Linked DNA regions of Ovis aries. The protein of the gene in region 1 purifies or fractionates together with the protein of each later gene. This does not show direct contact. Links are inferred from orthologs where the notes say so. Each region holds a gene or a part of one and is shown on either strand. Other genes may lie near its edges.

Region 1 (3,753 bases):
CTGTGGAGGGCCTGGGTTCAATTCCTGGTCGTGGAAATAAGATCCCACAAGCTACGAGGTGCCTTCCTCCCTCCCCAAAAAAGTTTTCAGAAATGGAATAAGGCCCGTGTGTGACTGCAAATGTAGCTGAGATGAGTGGTATGAAGGTCACTGCAGATGAAGAGAATAAAGTCAGAGTAAGAAAGGTTCAGGTTCCACTCAGCTTCCGCAAAGCAGTATCTGGATGTTGGGACTTGTCTCAAGAAAACATCTGCACCCCAGTTTTAAAACATGATCTCAGGGGACAATTCTCAAAATTCAGTTTTCCAGAGTAGTCAAATAAAATTAATTTGGTCCATCTCAAACCTGTGTGCTAAATAAAACTTTTCTTTAGTCATTGTTGAAGGGAACTTTCCTTGGTAAAATAAACACCTAACTTTTTAAAAACCATAGTGAAAACAAGATCTGGAAAGAAAGCTCTAGGTGGAAACATGGCCTCTGGGTAGTCAAGAGTGCAAATTAGATTCAGAAATGGGAGGGTTATTCTTTCAGCTTTACTGTTTCCTAACTTCAGTCAGCCCCAGGCTACACATCAGAACAAACAAGAAAGGAGATGGATGCTCAGGGAGGGGTCTGAGAATCTTTTTTTTTTGGCAAATACGAGGTACCAGTTATGTGTTAAGACTAGAGGACTACTGAGTAATAGGTGTAGACAGCTATATCAACAAGTTATCTCAAAAGTTTATTAAATACCTGTTGTATTTAAGTAGAAAAAAAAAAAACCCCATGGGTAAAGAGGGGGCGTGACAGTTTGCAAAGCCTTCATTGAGCTGACGTTGAAGTTAGGGCTCAAAGGATGAGAGAGGGCCTGGCGGGCGGGTAAATCGCCGCCGCTTACCGGGGCTGGAGTCCCGCTCCTCGTCCTCCGCCGACCCGCCGGCCTTGAACCCGGGCGGCAGGGCCGGCCCAATCAGATCCCTCGCCATCCGCGGGGTCAGACACTGAAGACGCACACAAGTGTCTCCAAGCAGAGTCAGAACTCCACGACGGGCAGCCAGCGAGCCGCCGAACGCTAGGGAAACTCTTCCGGCGCCGGCCGATGACATCGCAGCTTGTGATTGGCTGATCCTTGCTATTGGCGATAACGGAAGTGACGCCTAAGGCTTGCTGCGCACTCGCACGCAGGGTTGACTACCAGGCGGGTGGCGATGGGCGACCCGGCTGGTGGTGCTGTTCCTCCCGCCGGGTGGTTCCCAGCCCCCGAGCTGACCCCGACGCTGGGGCCTCTACGCGACCGAGCCTCGCGGCCGAACAACTGGATGCTGTGGGCGATGCCGCCGCCGCCGCCGCCTTCGTCGCTTCCCGCAGCAGGGTCCGAGCCTGCCTTAGAGGCACAGCCCCGCGAGGAAGCCCGCACTTTCCCCGGGGCACCTCCCCCCTTCGACGCCCACATTCTCCCCGGGGCGCAGCCCCCCTTTGACGCCCAGTCCCCCTTCGATTCTCAGCCTCAACCCAATGGCCAGCCTTCCTGGAATTTCCAGGCTTCAGCGTCACGGTACTGGACGCAGTCTCCTGGTGGTTTTCCTTGGCATCAGCAGCCCCACAGCACTCCAGGTAGGTTGTTAACGCCTCTCCGTACCACCCCTTATCTTTCTTTTCCATCCCTATTTCCTCCTCCTCTTCCACCCTTGTTCCCCTCTCCTCTTCTGATACTGCCTTGCACTCCGGTCATTAATGTCTCACAGTTTGTTCCACAGTTACGTTTTCCCGACTTGTTCATTTAGTTCAGCAATTATTTGGTTAATTCCAACTATGAATCAGGACGTGAGGGTACAGCAGTGAGCAAAACATTCAGGAATTCTTATCTTAGGCCTTGGCATCTCCTGGTGTAAGATGGCAGACAATAAACAAAATAAAGCAGTGTGTATTAGAAGGCAGTGAGTGCTGTGGAGAAGGAAAGCAGAGTCACAGGCAGTGCAGATTTAAATGTCAGTCAGTCATGAGTAAGGTGACATTGGAGCAGAGACTTAAGGGAGGTGAGGGATCAGTTGTTCTTTGTCTGACTCTTTGCAGCGCCATGGACTGTAGCCCACCAGGCTCATCTGTCCATGGGATTTCCCAGGCGTGAATACTGGGCTGGGTTGCCATTTCCTTCTCCAGGGGATCTTCCCGACACAGGGATGGAACCCGAGTCTCTTGCAGTGCATATGTCTGGGGGTTGGCCATGCAGGCAGAGAGACTTGTAAGTGCAGAACTTGTAAGGCAGGAACTGTGTGTGAATCACTATTCTTCCTAGAAAGGGTGGAAGTGAAAGTCGCTCAGTCGTGTCGGACTCTTTGTGACCCCATGGATTGTAGCCTGACAGGGTCCTCTGTCCCTGGAATTCTCCAGGTGAGAATTCTGGAGTTGGTTGCCATTCCCTTCTCCAGTGGATCTTCCTGACCCAGGGATCGAACCTGGGTCTCCTGCATTGCAGGAGGATTCTAGAAATGGTGGGCTGCCACTATTTTAACTCAAGTATTTATGATGTGCTCTAGCAAAATATTAAATAATCGTACAGTTTTTAACATTTGTGAATCTCTCTTTGTTTTCCAGTTAAACATTCTTATTTTCCACGAAAGCATGATGCAAGGGTCAATGACTTCAGCGTCTCTCCCAGAAGAAAACAGAAAAAAAAGGTATTTTTAAAGATGTTCTTAAATGTGACACTTTGGTCCCTATGTCACTGCTTCATATCTCATCTGTCAGAACTGTTGCTGTTTTGCATTCATCACTGACACACCATAGCTTTGCTATAAAAGTATCTTTAAGAGTCTTGGCTGTAAGTAAAAACTTCAAGCAAAATCTTCTTGTGAAAAAGTGGAGAAATTGTACAAAAAGAAAACAGTCGATCCATTTACATTTAGTATCAGGAGTAAATATGGGGAATTATGATTACAGATAAATGTAAATGTTATTGAACTTCAGTAAAGTAAAAAATATATGCTGCAGCTGCGAAGTCGCTTCAGTCGTGTCCGACTCTATGTGACCCCATAGACGGCAGCCCACTAGGCTCCTCTGTCCCTGGGATTCTCCAGGCAAGAACACTGGAGTGGGTTGCCATCTCCTTCTCCAATGTATGAAAATGAAAAGTGAAAGTGAAGTTGCTCAGTCTTGCCCGACTCCACTAGCAGCTTGGGAGGGGAAGGATGAAATGAAAAGTTTTTGTGTATTTTCAACCCTTGATTATATTCAGAAACTGAGCATTAAAATAGACTTCCTTTATTCTCATGTAGCTTAACAATCTGGTCTTTCGACTTTTAAGATGTATAAATAATGTCATTAGAATAAATTGAATAAGATCTATATCATGAAGTTACTACCCTTCATTTTGGTATCAAAAGTGTATTGCTGATATTTACAAAATACTGTGAGTGTATAATATATTTAATAACATAATCTCAACATTGAACAATTGGAGTTTACTTCCTATATAGTCTTATCATTGTAATAATTTTTTTGTTTTATGTTTAAACATAAAAATAGTAAATTGAGAATAAGAAAATATTATTTACCTAGTTTTTTTTTTTTCATTTAGTAGTTATGTATATATACACACACACATTGTTTTATTTATCCTAAAGAAAGAAATGCTGTTTTTACCCTGAATATTTATTTTTAGGTTATTCTGACATATGCTCTACTGCATTTTAATTAGATTACCAATTTGAAATCTATTAATGGTTTATATTAACTCTATTCAGATTAAAATTTTTTTTGGCCATGCCTTGTGGC
Region 2 (3,653 bases), on another chromosome or scaffold:
AGAGAAGTAACTTGTCAAGAATCACAGACCAGTAAGAGATGGAGCCAGGACTTTGAGTGTTAGACTCCAAACCCAAGCAACCAGCAAAAGTTACTTCCTCCTTTAACTAAACGCCAGGTCCACAAAACATTACCATATTTCTGTTTAATAGCCTTTCTTTATAAAACAGTTTATATAATTTACTTCCTAATTACTGGCAAATATTAATGGTAGACTAAGAGTAACCACTAGTAAGAAAAATCAAAGAAATTCAGAATTTCAGTGAAGTCTGACCTCTTTTAAGTGACAAACTGGAAAACAGGTCTCCAAGCTGATTGACACTCGATAGCAATATTGCTATGATAAGTTTGCAACATCTTTTAGTAAACAGTAAAATTCAGTGATTCTAATTAAAATCACACAACTGACCAGGTTTATTTTAATTGTTTAACTTTGGAAGTCTAGAGAAGCTTAACGAAGATTTAATATTTTACAAAGAAAATACCTAAAACATTAGATATGAACTGAAAATTCTTTACCAAAAATAATTAAATATGTAGAAAACATTCCCTTATTTGGAAAATGTCTCTTAATAGAAGCCTTATGATTTAGTTAAAATGTACAGAAGATAAGTTACCACAAGTGTTTGTAGGATGCCACTTGAAAACTTCCTATTTGAAAGTTCAAGTCTTACTTTCTCCTAAGAAAAATTGAGTTACATCCTTTTTATATTTTACTTTATAAAAGTTAATTGTATACATCTATATCTAATTCAGTCTCTCTTTTTTGTATAATCACTGTTAACTTAAAAAAAAAATATGGCTTGTTTCAAATGGAAATAACGTGCAAAAGATGTGAAACATTTATTCCTTGAAGGCTGGAACCACTTTTAAAATATCGTAAACACGTCTGTATTATATTACACAGGGAAAAGAATGTACACGTTCTGTGGCCTATGGGCACGAGGGTGACTAGTTTAGGAAAACTGATGTTTTGCATTTCAAGTTTCTTTTCAACAGATAAAATATTCTGTGATTCTAAAGCGAAGAATTTAATTGTGGTCATGCAAACATAAGTAAAGTTTTGGTTTACAGTTGTTTTCTCACTTGTCAGTCATTTCTTAAAAAGAAATCAGTTTTTGTAGTGGGCTCAGCTTTGCATTTTGTGAAGAAATTCTGTTTTCCCTCATTGAAAAACTAGTGCATGGGACAGAGTTAGCATACAGAGGAATCGCTACACCAAGAGTGTAGTGTGCTGCCTGTCTCCAGTCAGCTGCAAAGTGTGGTGCAAACAGTTTGTTGCTAATTAAGAAATACTAAAATTTGAATGTTTTACTCTTAAAGTTACAGCAGATTCAAATGTATCTCAATAGCAGCCTCACTCTTGATCACTGGTATTTCAGAGTACTTTCTTGAGTGGAAGAAAGGAGGATGGTGTTTCAGCTGTCAGGCCTGGTATCTCTTGGTATATGTGCTTTGCATGTGAATATCATCTGTCATCTGTGGAGATAAGAGAAAAAAAGTTGGAGAACTTCTGCGCTACACTGGTGGAGGTTCTGAGGTTTTTCCTCTTGGTCATGACGTGATAGTCACATGCCAGCACATTATCTTAAACAGCTCCTAATGAGCTAGCTGAAATTCTCCTACCTCAGAGAGCAAGCAAGGAAGAATGCTAGGGGCATATATCTTTAATCAACTGAAAAAAAAAAATGTTTTTAAATAATGACTTGAGAATTTCATGCTTTAAGGAATAGATAGTGAAGTCGCTCAGTCGTGTCCAACTCTTAGCGACCCCATGGACTGCAGCCTACCAGGCTCCTCTGTCCATGAGATTTTTCCAGGCAAGAATACTGGAGTGGGTTGCCATTTCCTTCTCCAGGGGATCTTTCCGACTACGGGATCGAACCCGGGTCTCCCGCATGGTAGGCAGACGCTTTACCGAATGCTTTACCGTCTTTAGGGAATATTAACATCTAATTTCCTGTGACACATTTACTGGTTTACGTCATAGTGAAAATGTGTCTGACTCTGCGATCCCATGGACTATACAATCCGTGGAATTCTCCAGGCCAGAATACTGGAGTGGGTAGCCCTTCCCTTCTCTAGGGGATCTTCCCAACCCAGGAATTGAACCCACATCTCCCACATTGCAGGCAGATTCTTTACCAGCTGAGCCACAAGGGAAGCCTAAGAAAACTGGAGCCTAAGAAAACTGGAGTGGGTAGCCTATCCCTTCTCCAGCGGCTCTTCGAAACCCAGGAATTGAACTGGGTTCTCCTGTATCACAGGCAGATTCTTTACCAACTGAGCTATCAAGAAAGCCCAAAAAGTGCAAGTCACTCAGTCGTTTCCAATTCTTTATAGATAAACTCCATATTTCTTATATTTTGTGCTTTTACCTCATTCATAAACTCAAACCTGTTTTTTTTTAATTTCAAAATAAAGGAAAGCCAGATTTAATTATATAGTAATATAAATTTTGGAAAATATAATTTAGAATTAAATTTTTACAGAGTATTTTATAGCCAGTTATTTTACTGCCATATATTACTATAAACTATCAGGGCTAGTTGTTTGGTTATCTTTTAAGGCTCAAACTAAATATATTTGAGGAATTTGAGTTTTTAGCTAGTCAGTATTGTATCCAAGAAAAATTAATGACACATCAAATATAGATATTATATAAAAGCCTTTATCCCTTAAGATGAAAATGAATAACTTATTCTAGAGCTTTCCTAATATCAAATTATTTGATATGCTTTTGATTTACTTTGGGATCTCATAATAATAGCTCTTTTACTCAATTTTCTTAGTGGTGGTAAACTTACTATATTATAAGGAAACAGTTATTGAATTATTGTCATCTCCATGTAAAATTTTTTAATATAAGGAACTCATTTTATTTATGAATAACTTCAAATAAAAGGGTATTTTTATTTTTATTTTGCTTTTTTTCTAAAAGATATTATGAGCTGGATCCTGACAAAAGTCTCCTTGACAATTTGAGGGGCAAAGTGATCATTGAGTACCCAACATTACATGTAGTATTAAAAGAATACAGTAATGACATGAAAGTTCTTCACCAAGGTGAGTGTAAATTTCTTCCTGGTAACTTTTAAATAACGGGTGAAATTGAAACAGTTACGTGATTGTCTTTATATATTTTTCCACTGTATTTACACACTTAACTGAATTTCCTCTGTAACTACAGATAATGCTATAAAGAAAAATATGATTGAGCTGTTGCTTCTGTCCTGTTTGAGAGCTTGTAAGCTTTTATCAACTTAAAATGAATGAATCATTGAATGTCTGCCTCTAAAAAGATGTCCTTTGCCTCTTTGGAATTTTTTGTATTTTGTCTTTTTCTAAGGTAATAATCTTTAAGTAACAGTCTGTCTAAGATCAGATAAATTTATTCCCTAGTTAAAACTCCTTAGAGATTCCTAAAATGAGAGATCACAAAACATTTTTAGTATTCTATACTTTTCCCTCTTTGATGAGTAGTGAAGTTGGGAGGAAGTACCAAAACTGGCAATGGTATGTGTAAAATGTTCGTATATAAGGTGACTTATCCGTATTTGCAGTTACTGTTGAAACTAATTATGTAGCTGAATGTAAATTCTAAAAGATGAATAAAATTTAAAAATTACTTCTAAAAAGAAAAAGAAGTTACTT

What was found. Proteins that work in one complex are often made in the same cells at the same time.
Region 2: the proteins of NUFIP1 (region 1) and ZNHIT6 purify together in Homo sapiens (affinity purification with western blotting; 3 studies listed by BioGRID and IntAct, with this or other methods). This does not show direct contact. The link is inferred for Ovis aries from reciprocal best matches to the Homo sapiens genes NUFIP1 and ZNHIT6.

The regions. Positions count from the first base shown.
Region 1 is NC_056063.1:15,536,221-15,539,973, reverse strand, and holds the start of NUFIP1 (FMR1-interacting protein NUFIP1), read left to right. Parts: upstream 1-1,152; 5' UTR 1,153-1,187; coding exon 1,188-1,593; intron 1,594-2,574; coding exon 2,575-2,657; intron 2,658-3,753. Other genes in the region: GPALPP1 (GPALPP motifs-containing protein 1), read right to left, coding at 878-965. UniProt on the Homo sapiens protein: Binds RNA.
Region 2 is NC_056054.1:62,697,834-62,701,486, reverse strand, and holds part of ZNHIT6 (box C/D snoRNA protein 1), read left to right. Parts: intron 1-2,940; coding exon 2,941-3,065; intron 3,066-3,653. UniProt on the Homo sapiens protein: Required for box C/D snoRNAs accumulation involved in snoRNA processing, snoRNA transport to the nucleolus and ribosome biogenesis.